2 linked regions of the Diceros bicornis minor genome follow. The protein of the gene in region 1 purifies or fractionates together with the protein of each later gene. This does not show direct contact. Links are inferred from orthologs where the notes say so. Each region holds a gene or a part of one and is shown in the gene's direction. Other genes may lie near its edges.

What was found.
Region 2: the proteins of PTPN7 (region 1) and MAPK14 purify together in Homo sapiens (affinity purification with mass spectrometry; 3 studies listed by BioGRID and IntAct, with this or other methods). This does not show direct contact. The link is inferred for Diceros bicornis minor from reciprocal best matches to the Homo sapiens genes PTPN7 and MAPK14.

What each region holds. Positions count from the first base shown.
Region 1 is NC_080777.1:30,263,709-30,275,079, reverse strand, and holds the start of PTPN7 (tyrosine-protein phosphatase non-receptor type 7), read left to right. Parts: upstream 1-6,542; 5' UTR 6,543-6,654; intron 6,655-7,695; 5' UTR 7,696-7,746; coding exon 7,747-7,868; intron 7,869-8,350; coding exon 8,351-8,534; intron 8,535-8,825; coding exon 8,826-8,910; intron 8,911-10,360; coding exon 10,361-10,437; intron 10,438-11,371. UniProt on the Homo sapiens protein: Protein phosphatase that acts preferentially on tyrosine-phosphorylated MAPK1. Plays a role in the regulation of T and B-lymphocyte development and signal transduction.
Region 2 is NC_080753.1:28,810,707-28,821,701, reverse strand, and holds the start of MAPK14 (mitogen-activated protein kinase 14), read left to right. Parts: upstream 1-5,553; 5' UTR 5,554-5,924; coding exon 5,925-6,040; intron 6,041-10,995. UniProt on the Homo sapiens protein: Serine/threonine kinase which acts as an essential component of the MAP kinase signal transduction pathway.

The sequences.
Region 1 (11,371 bases):
CCTCCCCTCTCTGCTGACGTTCATTTTCAGAGGTGGTCCTGGGGCAAAGGGGGAGCATTCAGAGTCTCCCCATGCCTCTTCTGCCCTAAAGAAGTAGGTGAGGCAAAGGGGCAGAGCAGAGGCAGAGTCTGCGCGGAGAAGTTGCCCCTGGACACCCCCCTCCCTCCCAGACCCCCTCCCTCCCTCCCTCCTAGCCCCTCACCCTCCCTCCCAGACCCCCTCCTCCCTCCTGTACCCCCCTCGCTCCCAGACCCCCTCCCCTCTGAAGACACCTACCTCCACTCTCCCCGGCTGGGCTCCCTTCCAGGGAGTGGCACACATCTTCCCATAGGAAGGAGAGGGGAGGAGATGGGCAGAGGCCTCTAGGGTCCAGGCCCATATGAAAGCCAGTGGGGACAGGGTGGGATCAGGGGGAAGCTGTCCTGTTGTCCAAGACTGCCCGAGACACGGCCAAAGGGGCGTCGCGGGCGGGCACACCCAAGAGGTGGGAGGCGGCCGGCGCCAGGAGCAGACTGTTCTTGCTGCCATCCTGCCTGCTGGCAGGTGGGAAGGGGGAGCCTCTGTCTTGCCTAATGCAGACCAGCTGTGCAGCCCCAAGAGAGGTGGGAGGCCTGAATTGGCCCTGGAGAGCAGGGACCCCACCCTCCCGTCCCCAATGCCCACCTTACCTTAGCCAAGAAGCCCTGGAGCCAGAGGAGGGCAGGGAACAGGACTGGGGGCCTCATCCTGATGCCTTCAAAGGAAAGTTGGGAGGCAGCGGGGGAGGAGCCACTCCCCCCAACCTTCCCCTTGCCCCGCTGGCTGGCTGGCTGGCAAGGGAGGGAAAATCAGATTTTAGGCGGATGGCAGGTGGTGAGAGCAAGCAGCTACCTCTGAACCCCAGACCCTGACCCCCACCCCACCCAGCCTGGGCCAGGCTCTGCACGGCAAGAGAGCCTGGACTGGCTCAGGACCCAGAATGTGGAAAGGGATTTCAACTCTCAGGCTCAGACAAGCCTACCCTACCTCTGCCTCCCCCACCTCCCCCTTACTCCCAGCAGCTGGCTTTCCAGGGAGGAAGATGCCCTGCACACTTCAGAAAGACCAAGAGGAGGAATGGCCTTGCAAGTGGACACACATGGCAGAGGTAGCTGGCTCTGCACTCCTGGACCCCGGAAGGGGACTGTGATTGGACTCTACCAGCATGTGGGCAACGGATGGGGTGTTTGCGTTCCTGAGGGAGAGGGTGCCAGGGAACTCGGTGACCTCGCGTGCTGTGTGTTGCTGTGAGCTGGGCAGACGGAGCAGCTCTGAGCGTGTGGCCCCTTCTGTGTATCCATGTGACCCCATGCTCTTGTGGACAGAGGCACAGGCGCACACCCTAAAGGCCTTGATCTGGTGAGTGTAGATCTGGCAGAGCCCACTTGGCCCTTGGCACCCATCTGGTCCCACGCCCTCACCGCCCAGATGAGGAGGCTGATACCCAGAGAAGGGAGAGCCCAGCCCAGGACTCCACACGTGTGAGGAGATGAGCTGGACTTGAACCTGGGACTTCCGGCTCCACTGAGCAGACGTGGCAAACCCTGCTCTGAACCCCCAAATTGGTGGCCTCTCAGCTCGGAAGGCTCTGAGGAGCCACTCACGTCCCTAGGACCTATGCTTGCCTTCCCACCTCCTCTCCTCGCTCAGAGGTGCCCACCCTGTCCCCCTGTCCCCCTAGCTCCCACCTGGCAGCAGGCACCACAAAGCCTGGGGAAGCCTACCTGGGGCCTGGCCTAGAGGATGGGGAGCTTGAGGCTTCACCCCAGCCTAGAGCCAGCTCCTCACCTCCAGCTGCTCGCTATGTGCCCCCCAAGACAGCTGACATGGGGCAGGGGGCAGGGGAAAGAGAGCGGAAGAAGGAAGGCTCTGGGCCCTGGGAAAGAAGTCGGGGACTGAGACACTAACTCAGGAAGTGGGGAGGGGAAATTTGCAGCAAAACAGGCAGGTGGAGAAACTCTGAACCCCGAGACAGCTTCTGTGGGAGCCAGGCTCTCAGGCCAGCCCTGTGGGGAGGACAGGCTGCATGGACACAAGCTCAGGCCAGAGCTAGGGCCCGCCTGCCACGCCCCCGCTCCACCCAGCCCCAAACCTCAGAGCCACCCACCTGGTCCCTGGATGGGGGCCTGGAAACTCAGCCCTGCAGACTCATCAGATTTTCCAGGCCGTGCGTGTGTGCGTGTGTGTGTGTGTGTGTGTGTGCATGCATGTGCTCTTTCAAAAGAAGTGGGGGGAGAGCAATTAGGAAAACCAATGTGAGAGGGAAGAGGTCCCAGTCTGGCCAAGGGCGGCCCCCCATCCTGCCTCACCTTGGGGCACCTCACTGTGCTCTTTCTGGCAGCGTCGCCATCAGCAGCGGCAAACGTGGGGGGTGGGGGGTACCATCCTAACTCAGATTCTAGGAGAAGAGATGCAGCAAGACATGGTTGCAGATAAGGGGGGCTCAGACCCTTCCCAAGAATCCCCACAAAGAGGGACCCATTGGGAACCACACAGACGCTATAGCTCATCCTGTGGACAGAGCCTGGAGAAGGCACCTGGCCAGAGAAGGCCCACCTGCCGGCCCCCCAGCCAGCCTGGGGCTGCCTTGGGGATGGGAGGGAGGCTCTGGAGGGTGCAGAGAGGCCTGACAGAAGCGGCAGCCTCCCCAGCCCAAGGCTCTCCATTCAGCAAAATACCTACCACGAGGCTGTCTCCTCCCCAGCAACCACTGGCACAGACAAACCCACATCCTCTCCCTGGAGAACCCCAGGTCCTCCCGAGGTCTCGGAGCACCTACTGATTCTTTCTGGAGAGTGCCGGCCCAGAGGCAGATGAGGGCAGGGGACAGGTCCAGGCGTCCTGCTCCCAAATGTGCGCCAGCCTGGGCTCTCCCCGCAGCTAGCCTAGGCCCCTGCCGTCATCTCTCGGGACCCCCATGCTGGGGAAGGTAACAGCCAGGCGGGAGGGGTGGGGTGGTGCAGACAGCCCAGTCTTCCATTTGTCCTCCCACTCCCTGGGGAAGGTCCCCGGAAGGGGAGGCCCAGGGCCTGCTGACCAGGCCGCGGGAAGGCAGCAAGGCCCGCGAGAGGCTGTGCACGGTTATGCCAGCAGCCTGGGCGTGTGTGTGCGAGTGCACAGTGAGCCGCGAGGGTGCATGCACCTGTCTGGATGGAGGTGCACGCATGGGCGTCCAGGGACGTCACGGAGGGACCAGGGGGAGAGGAGGGCCCTGGAAAGGAAGGGCTGTGTTGGGGAACAGATGTCCATTTCCTCAGCTCTGGACTGGGGAGAGAGGGAGGGACTCTCTGCTGTCCTAAAGTCCTCCTACGAGGGACCTGAGGCCCAGCCACCTGGCAGAAAATGGGGCTCTTCCCTGGAACTGCCCTGGTGTTGGGCTGGCCTGAGTCGCTGGTCCTTCAGCCGGGAGGGGAGGGGATGGAAACTCCCCTCACCAGCAGGCACCCAGAAGGAGTCGTGGAAACTGGGTCCGGAGGGGGCTGGGCACCTGGGATGGCTGCACAGAGGCAGGGCCCCAGGACACGCCCAGGGGATCTCCCTGCTCCTTCACACCTCACACCCGCTGGCCCAGACCCCCTCCCACATTCCTAACAGCACTTCTCTGCCCCACTCACAGCGAGGCTCCTCCGGTGTCCCCTGCTTCCTCTTGGATGAGGCCTCTGGATCCCGTCTCTCTGTGTCTCTGTCTCCATCACACAGCCAGGGACCAATTGGGGCCCGTAACTTTGGGGCCAAAGCTGGCCTGGGCTGGCCCAGGATTTGGGGGGTGTGGGAGGACCTGGGAGCCTAGGGCATCTCCGGAGAGGAACCAGGAGGGCCAGGGAGGGGGCAGAACATGTAGAGCGCACAGGACCCAGGAGTCCTGGCCTCAGCAGCTGGCCCAGTCCCCAAGATCCCCCCTCTGGGATTCTATAGGGTGGCAGCCTTTGACTCTGGGGGCTGGCAGCAGCCTGGCCTCTCCCTGGTGCTGCAAGGGAACAAGAACCCCCAGGAACTCCGGATCTACCTGCCCCTCTGAGGGGCTTCTGACACTGCGGACGGTGGGGTTGTGGCTCGCAGCCCTGGGACTGCGGAGTGACTGAGGGAGGGAGGCAGTGGGCCCAGGCAGCCCTCCCTGAATGCAAGCTGGAGGGAGTGGGCAGTGAGGAGGGGGGTCTGCAGAGAGATAAGACTCACAGACTCAGACGCTGCCCCGCCCCCCACAGTGTCTCCCCCAGCTGACGGCTCCTGAGCACCAGTGGGGGCAAGCACTTCACAGACCTCAGACCACTTGATGTCACTCCCTGCGAAGGGAGGACTGATGAGGAGACAGCCTCAGGGAGGTTCCGACGCTTCCCCAAGGTCACACAGCAAATAAGCTACAGTGCAGACCCGCGGCCCCCAGGGCCTCTCAGCTTTCAACTATTGCTGTACTTTCTCTGGAGTTGAGGGTGCTGGGACCTAAGTCCCAACCCTGGAAGGCAGATCAGCATCGGAGTGAGCAGGGTTTGGGAGCTGTCTGGGCAGTTCCACACCGGGAACAGGGAAGCTTCCGGAGAGGAGTCACTCCAGGGACGCCCACGCCCCACCCCCACCCCCAGCAGCCTGGACAGAACGAGTCCACCCCAGAGAGGGCAGAGGGGTGTCCCAGGCCCCCGGCCAGGCTGGGAGGGCTGCTGCAGGGTGACGACACGTGTCTTGTCCTGCCTGAGGCTTGTGGGCGGTGCCTCACCCCTCCCACGCTCTGGTCACACACCTCTGCGGATGTCCAGCGTTTCTCAACGGAGGGGGGAGAGGAAGTGGGCAGGAGGCAAGGAATGGCTATTCCCCCTCCCCAGATACACCCAAGGGAACTGAGAGCTCCTCAGAGTCTTGCCTGATGACCCACCAAGACCCCCATCCCCAACCACCTTCCCCTTCTCCCTCCTCCAGCTTCCTTGCTTTCCACCCCAGAGCCCAGCTTCCAGCTCCTCAACCCACTGCCGGGCCGGCCTGCTGAGGGCAGGGGTGTGCTCTCAGCCAACGGGCTCAGGCCAGGGAAACCTGCGGGCCCTGGAGGGCCAGTGGGGCAAGGGCTTTGCCCACTTCCTCCACCCCACCCCGTGGTATCCTGGCTTCCTGTACTTGATAACCATCAGCAGCTTGGCCCAGAGGGAGTGGCCCTCTTTCCAATCCCCTCCTGCCCCCTCTTTGATCCCCAGGGCCCCCACTATCCACCAGTGGAAACAGTGGTGGGTTTGGGGGTGGTTGAGGCCGAGGCCAGCCTCAGGTCACTTCCCACAGGTACAGCAGGCATTCCCAGGCTCCTGGCCCCTCCTCCCTGTCCCGGGCACCGGAGCCAGCTACTGCCCAGCTCTGCTCGGCCTCCTCTCAGGGAAGCCACCAACCCCCAGCGGAGCAGGAGCTCGGGGCTCGGAAAGGGGCCAGTCCCAGACCCACTGCCGGAGCGCCGAAGATCATCCTGCTCTTCCTCTCAGCCCTCCTCCCCCACAGGCCAGAGGAAGGCCAGCCCCTCCCCACCACCCCCTGCGTGCCCACCCGTGTGCCTATTGTACATCATTCCTTCTTTGCTGTCACTGTCTGACGGCTGAATCAGAGAAGTGGGAGGAAGAGAGAGGACGGGGATCGTGCGTGTCGGGGGCCAGGAGGAAGGAACGTTACAAGGTGGAAGGAGATGAGCAGTGAGCATGAACCAGCCAGGCTGCTGGCCAGCAAAGGGGCTGCCGAGGCCAGGCGGGGGTGGGCAGTGGAGTCTTGGACGTGGGGCCACTCCCCAGGCCCCAGGCGTCCAGGCGCCCGGGGGCGAAGAAGACATGGGAGAGCCCTGGAGTGAGGGTCAGAGACCGTCCACTATCTGTAAGTCTTCTGAGTAGAGGTCGGGGTTCTGGCAGGAGGCATGGAAGGGGCTGGGGGCCAGGGGAAGCCCCCCAGACTCTCCTACAAGCCATCTCTGCCACCTGCTGCCCGGCAGGCTGGCCATGTCAGACAGAGGCAGCTGAGCAGGTGTGGGGTTCAGGGCCCCGGATGACCCTTCCGGCCCGGCCTGGGCCTTGCCTTCCCACGTGGAGCTAGGACTCCCACCTCCCATCCTCCCCACCCCGACCCAAGTCTGCAGCTCCTCTGCTCTGGGAAGATGCAGCCGTGCTGACCGTGAATTCCCACAGCTTGAAGGGCAAGGGTTCCGGAGCAGAAGCAGAGAAGTGGGAACTAGTCTCTGGCCCAGTTCAGCTGGAACAAGAGCAACCTGGGCTCTCTGTGGGACAGCATGGAGCTGGGGGTCTGCCGAGCTCTGCCCAGCATGCAGGCAGGGGCTGGAGGTGACAGAGACCCCGAGGCACACTGCAGAAGGAGGAGAGTTTGGCAGCTGGGGCACCGGCGTGGTCCACCTCACCTAGTCCCAGGGAGAAGGCCTGGGCCCATGACAAACATGCTGGGACATGGCCAGCCCGCCCCCGAGGGGCACAGGCAGGAGGCACCCGACCCCTGGCGGCGGCGGCAGGCGCAGGAGGGCAGCGTGCAGCTGGGGTGTGCGTGGGTGGCAGCGAGGAGGGGCGGAGGGAGGAAGCTGGCTTCCTGAAGCCTCCTCAGCCCTCAAAGACAGACCGACAGACAGACAGACAGCTGGCAAGAAGCAGCCCGGGGGACACAGCTGCTTCAGTAAGTACCTGAATGGGGTGGGGGGAGTCCCGTGGCCCTGGGGTGGTGTGAACCCTAGGGGGACGGGAGGGCATCTTGGAGGAGAGTGTGAGAGAGGGTGCGTTGGGTGCCACAGTGCTGGGGAAGGGGTGCTGACCTGGCTGACGTCCCCGAGGGGGCGGGTGGGGAGCCACAGGGACCTGCAGCGAGAGCAGAGGCTGAGGAGCCCCTCCTGCTGCTGGGGGGAGCCTCCCTCCACCACCGCCTCTGCACGGCCCACGCTGTCCCTTCACCTCCGTCCCTGCGGGCTTAGCTACTAACGCCCCCTCCACCTCGGAAGCTGTGACCCTGGAGATGGGGACCGTCCCCCAGGAGGAGGTGGCCCTACCACCTCCATGCCCCCTCGCGTGCCCCCAGCTGTCGCCTCACCATGCGCTGTCGCTCAAGGCCTTGGTGAGGCCATTTCCTGTGACGGTTGCAGAGGCGGGAGATGGGGGGGATGGGCAGAGGAGGAAGGAAACACCCCCGGCCTCCCTCCCTGGACAGAGACCCCAGACACCAGGATGAACCTGGGAGTGGAAGGACCAGTGAGTAGGAGCGGGTCCTGCTAGGGGCCAGCAGCCCGCAGGCCAACTGGCCCACCCAGTCCCAATGCTGCAAGAGGCCTCAAATTTCCCGTTCAGAGAAGGCCCGCTGGCTAGACTTAGAGGTGGCTTCTGTGAGCCTCTCTCCAGTCGACACGGAGCACATGGGCTGTGTGTCCTCCAGGGACACACTTTGGGCTCTGACAACGTCTTCTCCCCTTTCTGCCTCCTTCTGGATTCCTTCCTATCTTCACCCCCAATCTCAACCCCTTGCTCTAACCCCATACTGCCCACTCCCCTGGGTCCCCTGAAGAGACCTTGGCCTTCCCACAGTGAGAACGACAAAACTGCCTGGGGAACAGAAGACACTCCCAGTGAAAATAGGTGCCAGGGGGCAGAAGGTCTGCTGGGCCTGGGAGCCTCCCTCTGGCCGGTCAGGCAGGCCCGAGGTCCGCAGCTGAAAGGCCCTGTCTTCCAGGAGAACCCCATGGCTGAGTGAGCCTCCCCTGCGCCCAGCTCCCACCCCAGCATGGTCCAGGCCCGTGGGGGGCGCTCCAGAGCACAGTCACTGACCTTGTCTTTGGGGGCAGCCATGACCCAGCCTCCGCCCACCAAGGCACCGGCCAAGAAGCATGTGCGGCTGCAGGAGAGGTGAGATCTGTCTTGGGAGGGAGGCCTCCCCAGCCCTGAGCCCCGTCTGCCCCTCCAGCTCCAACAGCTGAGTCCAGAGGGCCCTCGGCTGTTGACTCCAACCTGGAAAGGAGACCAGATGTGTTCGCTTGCACATCATGTACATGCCCTTTACTTGTCTGGGGCATGAATTCTCACATCCACCAGGCTGGGCTGAGCAGCACCAGAGCGGGGCTGTCTTGAGTCTGGATGTGGGTCTAGGCTTTAGGGCCGGGGCAGGAATGGGCAGAGGTGGGCAGATGGAGGGAGCGGCTGGGTTCCAGGCTGCCCTGTTCTGGCTGAGGAGGAAGACAGGCAACAGGGGCCGGAATCCTTCACTCCACGGGGCCTCTGGGTCAAGGGGAAGACAAGGAGCAGCCTCCTCAGACAGGACCCATAACAATAACAACTGTAGGAGGAGCTCATGTGCTCGGTGCTCACTGGCCCCGGTCCTGTGCTTGCAGGCGGGGCTCCAATGTGGCTCTAATGCTGGACGTGCGGTCCTTGGGGGCTGTGGAGCCCATCTGCTCAGTGAACACACCCCGGGAGGTGACCCTACACTTTCTGCGCACAGCCGGACACCCTCTCACACGCTGGGCCCTGCAGCACCAGCCACCCAGCCCCAAGCAGCTAGAAGAGGAATTCTTGGTAAGAACTCAGGGACCCCACCCCAGGTCCCTCTGCCTTCTGAGTCAGAGGCAGCCAGCTGGCACTATTCTGTCCTGGGCATGGCAGGCATGTCTCCTCTTTGGGCCCTTAGGAAAGAGGACCCCAAGGCTCATGGGAGGAGACCGCTCCTGCTCCCTCTTCTGCCCTCCACCCCATCCAGACCTACATACAACGCCAGGAGGGAATGGCTGGCCCAGCTCTGCTATATGAGAGGGGAAGGGGAGACAAGGCTGGGGAGGGGTGTCAGCTGTTCACTGTTTCCTCTGCCAGAAGATCCCCTCAAACTTTGTCAGCCCTGAAGACCTGGATATTCCCGGCCACGCCTCCAAGGACAGATACAAGACCATCTTGCCAAGTAAGCACTGCGGCCGGGACCCAGGGAGGCCGCGCTGTCCCTAGGGCTGGAGAGGTTCAGAAGGCAAGGCACACAGCCTCCACCAGGGATGAGCCACCTGACCTTCAGTGTCTTCTTCCCACAAAGAAATTCCAAAATCACGCCCTGGCTGGGGGAGGGGCAATAACCATACCCCAGTGAGAAGACAGCCACTCATATTTCAGATGCTTCCCGTGGGCCAGGCACTGCTCAGAGTCCCTTAGGGTAACTCATTTCTCACAATGACCCCACAAAGTTGGTATTATGGTATGATTATCCCCAATTTACAAACAAGGCAACTGAGTCTCAGAGAAGTTGCATAAGTTGCCCGAGGTCACACAGCTAGTTGCACCAAACCTTCCTCCTCCTCTTCCTCCCTGTGGCAAATGCCCAGCAAGGGTTTGCAGAGGAAGAGGCACCATCAGGATGGCTCCCTGAGAGAAGACTTTGGGAAACTCCATGGAGGCAGAGCAGGGATTGCAAGAGAGCAGTGACAGGCTGGAGATGGGATCACAGAGTGGAAGGGTTGACCCTGCAAGCTCGACAGACCTGGGGAGCAGCACCTCCTGTGGGTCAGAGGCGGGCTGAGGGCCCTGGGGACTCTCCTTCTCTCCCCTCCTCTCCCTGCACAGCAGCCTCACCTGGGCACCCACCTCCAGCCTGAGGCCTCGGCTCCCTGCTCCTGCCGCATTCCAGTGCCCAGGTCCCAGCCCTCTGCCTGCACGAGGGTCAAAGGTTGTCAGCACTCACCCAAGTGGAGGCAGAGGGAGCAGCCTTGCTCTTGGCCTAACTGGAACCAGCTTGAAGCCAGAGTGGGGGAGGTCCTGTGCCTGAGGCTCCCCGGCACCCTGGGTACCTCTGTCCAGAGCCAGCCGGCTGGGAGAGCGAGTCCCCTCTCCTCTCTTCTCCTCACAAGCCAGCTTCTTCACCCTGCTTGGACTGGGTCTGGGGAAGCCCTCCCCCGCAGCGGGAGGTGGTGAGGGGAAACTCGGGCTCTAGGGCTACTTCTCCGCTGTGACTTTAGACAAATCATCTGAATCCCGCATTCACCGTCAGAAAAACTTCTCCCTCCACAACATCTCTTTCTCCATTCCTATGGGCACAATCCTATTCTCCACCCTTACTGGTCTCAAGGCTGGACCGTTGCCGTAACATCCCGTTAGGTCTCTGCTTCTCCGTCCCGTTCCTCGCTGGTCCACCCTAGACAGCACCCCCACTTTACCTTCCCAAGTCACGCCACTTAGATCATGCCACTCTACTGCTCAAAAGCATTCTGTGGCTCCTATCGTCTGTGAAACCACCCGTTGGGTACCGGGCAACTGGCTGTACCTCAGGGGCTATGACAAGCGCAGAAGCCCTGCTCCTCCTGGCCCTGTCGGAGTCGCAATGGTCACCTTTTGGCCTCTGATTTCCACTGATTTTTATCTCCTAGATCCCCAGAGCCGTGTCTGTCTAGGCCGGGCACAGAGCCAGGAGGACGGAGACTACATCAACGCCAACTACATCCGGGTGAGTGACCCAGCCCCGGCTGGGGCAAGGAATGGGGGACCGAGAGAACAGAGCAAACGTTAAACAACGCCGAAAAGGAGAGACCACCCAGTCTCCTTACCCCAGCCTGCCCATCCTATAAAGGAGGAGGAAGGAGCCATTGTTGAACCCTATCGCCAGCCTCTCGAGGGCTAATCGCTCCCGAGCTCTGCGTGGCAGGTACCAGCACCCACAGGAGCTCTCAGCTGTCCCCCTTCCTGCCTCTTTGGCCTTAACTGGACCCCAAGCAGCCCCTTTTTGTGGAGATGGTTTAACAGCAAGCTGTAGGAACTGGGAAGCAGCTTCACCCACCTCCAACATCCAACAGCCCCAAATAGATGTAAAGCAGCGCTCTCTAGTGGCTCAAAGTGGGCAGGACAGCGGGCAGAGGTGAAAAGCCACTTGCCAGGGACACCATGGGGAATGTGACCTCCCGTTGGCGGCAGAAACCCAGTGGACAGGTGCTCCTCCATCATCTTGAGGAGCAGGAAGTTGAGGATTCTGAAGGGGAGAGTGAAGGGCTGGCGAGGGTGTGCTGCATCTTGCTACTAAATATATAAAAGTAATATGTAAAAGTGAAACATTCATTCAACAGATACACTGTTTTCTCATTTACACTGTTTTCTCATTTTGTGCAAGTAGAAAGCAGGGGAGGAAAGGGAGACAGGGCACAGAGGACCTGATCCATGCTAGACTCAATATACTTTGTTAAATTTAATCTGCGCTACGTTCATGCAAGATAAATATTATGCTTAGTTTACGGATGAGAACACTGAGGCTATGGAGCTAGAGAAGCTGCTTATGGTGGCACAGCTGGTGAGCAGAAGAACGGGGATTTGAACTCAGATGTTCCTCACTCCAGAACCTGTGTCCTTTCCACCATGCGGCTTCTGGATGTGTGCTTTTGTGCGTGTGT
Region 2 (10,995 bases), on another chromosome or scaffold:
GGTTCTCCACACACATCATTTCATGAGATAGGTGCTATTTTCCTGATAATGATTATACTCATTTTACTAATGCATTTAGTGAGTTCCTCAGAGTCATACAACAATTAAATAGCAGAGCCAGAATCTCAACCCAGTCTTTCTGATTCCAAAATAGATGCCACGTTCAAATCCCATGTGATCTCCTACAGAGTGGGAATAATAATCCCAACCTAAAGGGACAGGGAAGGCCTCCCAGGGGAGATATAACTTGAGTTTCACTCTGTCTAAACTGGGATCAGGGAGGAGAACAAAGTATTTCACGAGTAGGATAAAATTACAGAGATAATAGAAGGCAAGCAATACAATATATCTGAGTAAAGTCAGTGTCAAGCCCAAAAAAGTAGGTTGAGGCCTATTCCTGGAAGGTCTTGAATGCTGGGTTGGACCTGGACTTTTTAACTGTTTGAGCAGGAGTAGTAATATGCACAGAGACATGCTTTGGGAAGATTAATCATGTCAGTGGTATGGTCTAGAGCTGTGCTATCCAGTACAGTAGCCACTGGCTACCAGTGGCTATTTAAATTTAACTTAATTAAAATAAAAAATTCAGTTCCTCAGTCGCCCTAGCTACATTTCAAGTGCTCAAGAGCCAAAGGGCTACCGTACTGGACAGCGCAGGTGTAAAACATTTCCATCATCACAGAAAGTTCTATTGGAGAGTGGAGCTAGGAGAGACTGAGGCAAAAAAGACCAATTGGAGACCATTACTATTATGGTAGTCTAGGGGAGAGGTAATCAAGTTGTAACTCGTGGCACCACAGTGAGCAGGGCTAGAAGGGGCAGGTGGAAAGCTGTCTTTAAAGGCCTCATCACATGACTGGCTAAAGGCAGCAAAGGGAAACACAGGATTTCCTTATTGGTTTTGTTAGTAGTCATCTCTGGAGTTTCTCCAGCTCCATTTGTCTTGCTTCATTTCATAGAAACCCTAGTGGTTCGTTTTCATGCACCAGCAGAACTCTTCCTGACAAGGTATGAAGACCAGAAGCTCCTACTGACAAGTAGCAGGGGCACTTTGGTGTGGAGAAGGGGAGGCATTTCAGAAAAAAGTGATCTCAGCTACACTGATAATGCTCTTTCAGCTGAGACAACACAAGAGGGAGTCTCTGTGACTGGCTCCTGAAGACATCAGTGTCAGGGGCCTCCACATGCAGTGTTATCAACAGTAAGCTACGTTCCACCTATAATCTTCAAGATAAATGTCCACTTAGAAAACAATTCCCTGATGCTTCCTGCTTCCTGCCCTGATGCTTCAGACAAAATATTTAGGTGGGTGGACCATGGATCTGAACTACTTAAGGTTTCATTTTCTTATTCTACAAATGTGACATAATTTTGGGCCTCTAGATTCACTACTAGCTAATAGAAATTAGTTTAATCTCTGTAGCCCATACTTCTTCCTCACACAAATAGCATCCACATCATCTGGGAACTTGTTGAAATGCACATTGTCAGGCCCCACCTAGTAAGAATTAACTAGAAACTCAGGATGGGTCAGTAGTCTGGTTTAAGAAGCCCTCCAGGTGATTCTGATACATAATAAAGTATGAGGACCACTGGAAATGTAGCCAATTATCTTCATCTAGTCAGTCTTTCATTGCTAAATTTGGGGGCACTGTTAAAATAAAGGCACTTTTGACCTAGCTCATTCATCTCCCATACTACCCCTATCTATCCAGCCATCCATTGATGTATTTACATAATGTGTTGAAAGTATTTTAAAAGCCAAGAATAAAAAATTTAAATGCAACCCAATTTTCTGACTATTGATTCAATAGATGTGAAATCCTGAACCTTAGTTTAGTTGCAAGAATATCTCTCCCCTGATATCGTCATCTTTCATATGTTCTCTATAATTGTGGGACGGTAAAATTCACTTGCAAAATTTCAAAATAAGCATTTGTAATTCCACCAGAAACAACAGCCCTTTGCCCATTACTACCTACGTTTTTGTGGGGAATGTACATGGAATACACAAAAGGCACAAGCAAAGAGCACTGCGTTTAGTACCCTTAAGTCACTCTGTCTAGTGGCTGGGGATGAATAATAAAGATGGCAGCCCTCAAGGAGCTGACCATTGGACAGCTGACCATCAGACGGCTGACCATCGGACACATAAACAACTACCTTTGATGCCACGTGGTGAGAAGTATTAACAGTGGGGTGTGTTGGAGAGAAACTCACTTTTGGGGTGGGGATGTTGGAGAAGACTTCCCAGGGGCACACTGACGCATAAATAGGCCTTGATAAGAGAAAGGGGCTCAGTGGGGTGGGAGTGGGGCCTCAGTCAGAAGGAACAAAATGAACAAGAGCAGTGAAGTCCGAAAGTACGAGGCGCGTCTGGGCTGTCAGGCCTCAGGAGGAGATGGGCGGGGTGGTCCGGTGACGCTTGGGCAGCAGATCAGTTCTGGGGCTTCTGACAACTCAGACGAACGAGTTGGAAAGAATTCAGCTTGCAAAAGGCACGCACTGTCTCTTGTTATTGCCATTCCATGCAGCCTTTCAAAAGTAGAGACAATACCTCTGGGAGATAAGCTCCCAGGGACGACCGTCATTCATTCATTCCACAAATATTGACTGAGCGCCCGCGAGGCGCCTGGCCCTGCCGGTGACGGACGCAGCCCCGCCCGCTGTAACGAGGGGCTGGTCCCTCGCACCCGGACGCCCACAACCTGCAGCCCCGGGCACCCGGGCGTCCCCGGCAGCGGCTCACCTGGCTCCTCGGCTGGGGCGGGAGTGCGGGCGCTGGGGTCAGACGCGGCTCCGGCAGGCTGGCGGCGCTCCAGGCGGACGCCGGCGGTTCCCGAGCCGTTGCGGCCGAACCCGGGGGCGTTGGGGGGCGGGGGGGTGTGGGGAGCAAGGGGAGAGGACAATAGTCTGGCGGAAGAAGAGGAGCATGGGCAGCTGGGGTGGGGAGCGGCGAGAGGGGTACTGCCCTCCGGTACCTGGACCGTGGGAGCCCCTTGCCTGTGCCACCCGGGCCTCCACTTGCCTCGAGGTTTGACTACTCTTGATTGAGGGCCTACTGGATGCATACAGTAATTCACTTAAATCTCCTGACGACCTGTCAGGTTAGAAGATGCAAGAGGAAACCGGAAGCCAGAGGGTCACCAGGTCTCCAACCCTAGCCCCACAAGCCTGGCTTCCCTCGCTGAAGGACACTCTCCTGCCCAGGTCTCTCGCTCTCCTCCACCGGCTCCTCCAACCTCCTCCTCCCGAAGCTCAGGCCCTGTCACTGTCTCGCACTACCCTTGTATTCCTGCCCAGTTGCAGTTTTACTCTTGCTTGATTACTGTATTAATAGTAACATATCACTCACCTTACCTATTCCTTTTTGTAAACTGTCTCACTCCGTAAGGGCAGGTATTTTCATCTATTTCATTAACTGCAGTATCACCAGTGCCTAATACAATGTGGTAGATATAAGTAAGTGCTCAATAAATGTGTTGAATGATTGAATGATTGCCCTGCTAAGTGTAAGCTCCATGTAGACAGCAACTGTGTCTGTTTTTTATTTTTATTTAAAAAAAATTTTTATTTATTTATTTATTTATGTATCCCCCAAAGCCGCAGTAGATAGTTGTATGTCATAGCTGCACATCCTTCTTGTTGCTGTATGTGGGACCCGGCCTCAGGGTGGCTGGAGAAGCCGTGCGTCGGTGCGCGCCCGGGTTCCGGCCGGGGCCGCCAGCATCGGACCGCGTGCACTTAACCGCTAAGCCAGAGGGCCGGCTCCTGTGTCTGTTTTTTAATCACCTTTCCATCAGAAGTGCCTGTACCTAGTAGGCATTCAATACACAGTTGTCGAATGAGTGAGTGAAGGTACTGCTCACTTCATCTTTACCCTTTCGGTCACTCTCACCTCATCATCCCAACTTGTTGGATAAATATCTGGATTTCTTAGGATTCTGCATGCAAGTTTCCCCTCTTGCATCCATCCACTCAACACCTTGATTCCCACTCCCACCCGTCATGTCTTTACAGCCACATTTTTGCTGTCACTTCCTCCTTCAGCTTCTACTACTTCTTAGAAAGCTCCCTAACATGCAGGCTGGCTTGGAACATTTTCAAGCAGCGTGTTTTCATAGGCATGAGAATCAGGGTAAGTCACATGGAATCCAAAAAAAAAAGCTTTCCACGAATCGCCTATGACCCTGGTTTGGAGTTTTATTTATTTTTTCCTTGAGGAGAACTGAGGATCCTGCATCACCTCCTAAATTGAGATCATGGTCATTGTTCATAATTTGTTCAGCAAATATTTATGGAACACCTTTTATGTTCTAGACACTGTGCTAGATGCTGGGACAAGATAGGCAAAGTCTAAGCACTCCAAGGAATGTATAACACAAAAGAGAATGACCATGGGAAGTGATAAGGAGTGTCCTGGCTTGGACTTAGTTATTTCTAAGGGAAATAACTAAGAGACTAAGATAGGGTCCAATTCTTCTGCTTATTGCAACAAGCTTCAGCATAGGAATAGGTTGGTAACAGTGTGGGTAGGTATGGGGTTATAACACCTTGCCCATTCACATTTATTATCTTGTTGAGCTTTACAAATGACCCTATTAGGTGGGAGTGTAAGGCAGGAATTCTCTTTTGCATCAACTGGAAGTGAGGTCTAAGAAAGGTCAATTGACTTGCCTAATGTGACACTGCCAGAAGACCACTCTCTGCCCAGTTCTTCTTCCTCTGAGAGGCATGAATCAAATGCTTAAAATCCTCGTCACTGGAAGCTCTTCAGGGCAGAAGTCAGTTTCAAACCCTCAGGGTAATGGTTTTAAAAACGCTTCTCAAAGGGAGATGCCAGAGACTTTCCTGAATCAGAATTACCTGGAGCCTATTGTAAAAATGCTCATTCTTGGTACCCGTCAGGGACCTATCCAATTAGATTCCCTGTGGGTCCTGGGAATCTGCATTTTTAAACCCCCAAGGTGATTCTTCTGCACATAAAAGCTTGAGAACTACTAGGAGAGTTTGGGTGGAAAACCTCAGCCTTAATGCAGAGCTAATATTTGCTTTGGGGACAGATTTTTGTGAGAACTTCGAACTAAGCCATATGTCCTTGAGCGGATGGAATGCAACGGCTTTCGGGCCGAAAATCTTTCTCTTTTATGTGCAAGTACTTCTTGGAAATTGAGGGTTCCGCTGAGCAGTCGCTCGGCTGCTGGTGGCTACCCAAAGTTCAAAGATCGTTTGGCTCTTTTCCCGACACCCTATTTGTCACTGTCGCTTTCCACCACGGGGCCAGGCATTTGCCCCACCGACCACTGTGCGGCGCACGCGGCATGTGTTGCCTGGGGCACCCCTCTTTCCCGGGTCCGCCTTCGCGCCTTTAAGAACAGTCTCTGGGAGTTCCTCCCTCTGGTTGCCAGCTGTTGCTCTCTTCTCGCGAGAACTGCTCCTCCCGTCCTCTCCCCTCATCAACCCCCTCCCATGGGCAGGTTCCATATTGGGTAAAATCTCGGCTCGCGGAGAGTCCCGGGAGCTGTTCTCGCGAGAGTACGGCGGGAGGCTCCTGTTCGCTGGCTTTGGAACGGCGACCACTGGAACCTCCCCGGGCGCTGCAGCTGGAGCGGTAGTCCTGCGGCGCAGCCAGAGTCGGCCTGGTCGGGGAGAGGGTGCAGGGAGAGCGTGGCGGGCGCAGCCTTGAGCCCCGGAGCGCGCCTCTGCCCTTAGCAGGACTCGCTCCTGTGGCTGAGGCGCGTCCAGGCGCTGCGGTGACAGCGGCCGCGCGCGCGGGAGTCTGCGGGGTCGCAGCAGCCGCACCTGCGCGTGCGGCCGGCGCGGGGTCCCCGCCCGGCCGGGCGGGCGACGAGGGCCGGGAGCGGGTGCGGGCGCAGGCGGGTCCCCGCTGGGCCACCTCCTCGCCCCGCGGCCGCCGCTGGAAGATGTCTCAGGAGAGGCCCACGTTCTACCGGCAGGAGCTGAACAAGACAATTTGGGAGGTGCCCGAGCGTTACCAGAACCTGTCCCCGGTGGGCTCCGGCGCTTATGGCTCCGTGTGGTGAGTGTCACCGGGCTGGGGCCGCGGTGGGCTGGGTGGCCCCTCATGTCCGAGAGCCAGGCCTGCTCCCACGGCTCGGCGATGCACCAAGCGGCAGGAATTTTCCTTGGGGGAGGCCATCGATACCCCTTCGACCCTTGTCCTGCACGCCCTGTACGCCTTGCACCCCTCACCCTGCACGCCCGGGTAGGTGGTCGACCGTGTGCAGGACGCGGATCCGCGGTGGGTGGTGGTGCTGGAGCTCGGCCCTGGCTCGCACCCTGTGCGTTCCCCTCTTGGGGGGTTGCTGCTCCGGGGACAGGCGCCGGCGGGGGCCTCTCTGCGGGGTGTGTCTGCTGGCGCCGAGCACAAGGACCCTCCCGGAGGACTCCGGGTGCCGGAGCCCGCCCTCTGCGCAGACAAGCCCGGGAGCTGCCGGGAGACGCAGAAGGGCAAAGCCCGACCGGGAGACTGCGGTCATCCCAACGAAAATGACGACGAAGGGCGTTCTCTCCGGGCCCTTTTGCAGACCTCTGTCGAAATCCCATTTTCAGAAGCGTTCTTTTTGAATTCGCAGCGACCCAGAGAGCTTAAAATACCGACTTTATCTCGGGGAGCGCGGTGCCAGCTTGAGTGGTGTGTTTCCGATTCGGTTGAAAGCGTATTTCCTTTCCGCAGAGGGGGGGTGGGTGGCGGTGCCTGCAGGAACGCTGCGCTCGAGAAACTGGCGGCCTCGCTGATTAGTCACAGACCACCGCTCATTTCAGTATTGTTGGACACAACAGTTTTCTCATTTGAGCAAGTGAGATTCAGATCCGTTGGACGCTCTCAAGATCAAAAAGTTGTTAACAATGCTGGGAGGTATTGTAAATATTTTTTAATTGCGATAATTCTTGTGAGTACTGTGTTTTTAGACTCCCTTAGAGAGTTTGCAGGGAACTTATCTATCTTTATAGCCTGAGTACGCGATGGTTTTAATAAGGATATAGAATATATAGGAAAGGAAGGAAGAGGCATTTTTCACCTGTAATTCACACTGTGGGTTTTAAAATAAATTGATACCATAAGATTTCCCGACCTGAAATATTTCACTAACTTCTCTGACTTTCAAGGTTTTATGCACTGTATTTTAGATTTACTATAATTTGAGAGCTTTGAAACTAATTCGTGTAATTCGTGTACGTGCGTCGTTTGAAAAAGGGCCTATAAAATTACTTTTTGTTTCACAACAAATTCCAGGCTTTTGGACGTGTTAATCTTTAAATGGAATTCCTGTGTTTCTTAAAGTCATATCACGAATTTCCTGTTTGGTAGAATCTTCTGGGTAATTGAGATTGTGCAATTGCGTCCAGCAACAGATCATATTGCATTTTCTAGTTCAAGCTGCTTGAGTTATGTTGTTGATGGTACCCTGCTTGATATCTTTTTCCCATTTTTATAGTATGGCAGTTTGCATTTTAAGGGAATTTGCAGCATTTTTATATATATATGTATGTTATTGATTTGCTAATTTTCAGAGATATATTTGGATCATTGCTCCTTTAATAGCTTATTAGTTTGCCTCCAGTTTTCATTCTTGAATTGACATATTAATATCTGTAGTACCAAGTTTTTCTTTCCAATGAAATTTAAATTTTAATGGAGTGATACGGCAGAATAGCTCAACTATGAGGAGTTTAGTGTACTTGCTTGCAAGGTTGCAAGAACTGCTTGCAAGGTTTCCTAACTGTTGGTGTGAAGAGTTCTGCACTGGAACTGGAGGTCCTGATTTACAGTGAAGTGCCTTTAAAATGAACTCCATATTTCTTTATACTATTCTTTTCTAGCTTATAGAAGCCAGCAATATCTGACCCTTGGAAGTAATTTTCTTAAACAGGTTTTTAAAAATAGATGATACATTCACATTGTATAAAATGCAAAAGGTATAAAAGAATATTCAGTGAAAAGTGTCTTTTCTTTTCCTGCTCTCCAACCATGCTATTCCTTTCCTCAGAGACAACCACTTGTTAAGTTTCCTGTGTGTCTTGCCAGGGAGGCAGAGTTTGTTTGTTTGTTTCTTAGTAGTATTTCTGCTAAGGGGATTTAAAGTGTAACCTATAGCATGTTGGCGAGGAGGATACAACTGATACTTTGTGATACTTTGTGACAATGGACTGTAAACAAATGTAACTGATTTTGGATTGAAAACACAAGTAAGTGTTATCCCATTCAGAGTAGTTATTTGAAGTTGTTCTTTCAATTAGCAACTTTTCAGGTGTGGCAGAAAACATTGTTTTGGAACTTTTCTTAGAATCCGTTTTGGAGCCTGTGTTATTATTCACTGTCTTCATCCTTTGAGAGCAGTTTTGTTGTAGGGAATAACAAAATCAAATTGAATCCAAATAATTTAGAGAATTTGGGCTCAAGTCTGGTGAAAAAGATTAGGCAATCAGGTTGGTGATACTGTTTTATGTCAGATAGGAGTTGTGACTATAAAGCAGTGACACAGAATTTCTTGTATGACTTGTAGAACTGGATCTAAAGTCTGTTCCAAAAAAGAATCTGAAAGTATTTTAAGGAATGCAACATCACTGAAATATGTCAGTTTCCTAATTTGCCCTGAAGTGTGATACATGTTGATGTGTAACTTAAAAATTTTTTTTATATTAAACCTATTTTCATTATTTTAATTTGTACCAAGTATACAGTAAAAAAGCAAGTAGCAGCTTGTGTGATAACCAACTGAATCAAAGATCAAGGAATCAGACTAGAAATTTGAGAATTGATAGGGTTTTACAAATAAGCCTTTCCTTTTTAAGGGGTAAAGGGAACTAAACTAAGTCTTGCAGTTTTAAGGAACTTTGTGCATTGTCTGTAGGGGAAATGAAGCAGAATTGTTAAAGAATGTGTTGTTGCAAAGCATTGATTTTGTGGTTTTGGGACAGAAGGGGGGCATCTTTGTGGTGAGTTTAAGGAAACATAAACAGGAACTTAAATGCCTTTCCTTTGGGGTATGGTTTTTCCAGACCCTTGCTGTTGATTAGAGGATTTGGGGCACTGGTAACCATAAAATAGGTGAGAGTTGAGAATTACTCTTAAATCGTATTCAATTGTTCAACAGTATTTATTGAATACCACCTCTGGACCAGGTAGCGGGCTGGGTTTCTTGAGATGGAGTGCTGAACAAGACAGAATAAGACAGTCCATTGCCTCAGAGAGCTCATAGCCTAATAGCCTAATGGGAGTAATAACTGCATTTTACAGATTGCTTACTGTGGTTCCAGGCATTGTGCTGTGCAGTTTGTATTTATCGTTAGTATATAAAATATATAACAAGACTTTTAGTAAGAGTATGGCAAAATTTACTAAGAAATCAAATCCAATTTCCTAAATACTTTGTGGAACAAATTGTATATAAATAAACATAATACAAATAAATGAAGCTAATTTTTTTTAGTATTAATGGCCATTCACCATTTAAATTTTTTTTTTTTTTTTTTTTTTAGAATGAGCCAGGGTACAAATAAATAAAAATATGTGGCTATTGATTGTGCAAAGATGACTTTCTTGACCCTGATCCATGAGAAGGGTGTGCTCGTCACTTTTCTAGTGGTGATAACAGGCCCATGCTGATCTTCCTTCCCATTTGCTTTTCTTTGTAACCAAAAGCAAGGTGATAGGCTGTGTGTTACCAGTGCCAACCAATAAATATTTAAACATAATGGCAAATATTTGTATTATTGATATATAAAAACTTTTAAGAAAGAGTTCAGTCAAGTTGGCTATAAAGTTGTATTTTATTTATCAAATCCCATTTTTCCACTGATACTTTTCCACTGGCTCCCATTTTAAATTAGGGCTATCCTGGACCTCTGGCTTTTCAGTTCTGCCAGTTTACTTTCCTGATGCTGAGAAGTACTCTGCTTTTGATTTTCCTCTAACTCAGCCTCAGATGATCTGTGTGTTGACTTTGCCTTTCATGGGCAACAGTGCAGATGGTGCTGAGCCCCTGGGGCTTAGGAAGCTCAAAGGTGGAAGAATTCACTGGGCTAGATCACTCTCACTTGAGTATTAACTGACATTTTTATGGGATTTTACACTTTATAAAGTATTTTCATTCAAAGCCTTATCATTCAGCCTTCACTAGTTCTATGAAGCCTGGTATTACTAACCCAGTTATATAGATGAGGAACTTGACTCATTCATTAAAGGAAGGGCACACTTGTCAGTTCTACTTTGGATTTGGTTCTGGGATTACAACACTTTAGAAGCCTCCTTTCCTGTACGTGCCGGCTGCTGAGGTTGTGTGGTGTCATCTTCTCTTGTGCATTTTGCCTCCTCCATCCCTCCTTCTCTGAAGAAAGAGGTTGCTGGGTCACTTGCAATAAGCTGTGACTGTATGAAACCAATCCCACCAATGTCATTTCCCAGCTAATCTGAGGGGTAAGGACTTAACTCATTAAAGTCACATCTCTTCCTCAGAACTGATAAACCAAAAATGAACTCATTGCCAAGATTAAATTTTTTCCCCAGAGAATTATTAGGCAATGCAAATAGTTATTTCTTGAATTTATGAATCCTGTTGATTTGAAAATTTTCAATGTGCATTTTGTAAAATCGAAACCATCTGTACATGTTTGTGTTATATGAGTATAGGTTATAAATAGAAATAACTGCCTCTTTAGGCCTTTGAAAATACATTGGGTTTTTGCTCTTTACTGTGAAGTTTGGTATTGATTTGTTCCTCTCCAAGAGGTATAATTACTGTAGTGCTCAAAAAAACCTCATTATAAAGTGGGTTCCGCTGACTTGGAACCTAGGGATTTGTCTCATGGTTGCCATGTACTTGCAAGTCATGCACATGTTTCTTCAGGACAAAAAAAAAAAACTCTTTAAATTGGAAATGTTTTTTGTAAATGAAGCTTTCAGTATTAGAAGTAGTTTGTCTTGGCATAGTACTTCCATAAAATAAGTACATATGTGTTGAGGATATATAA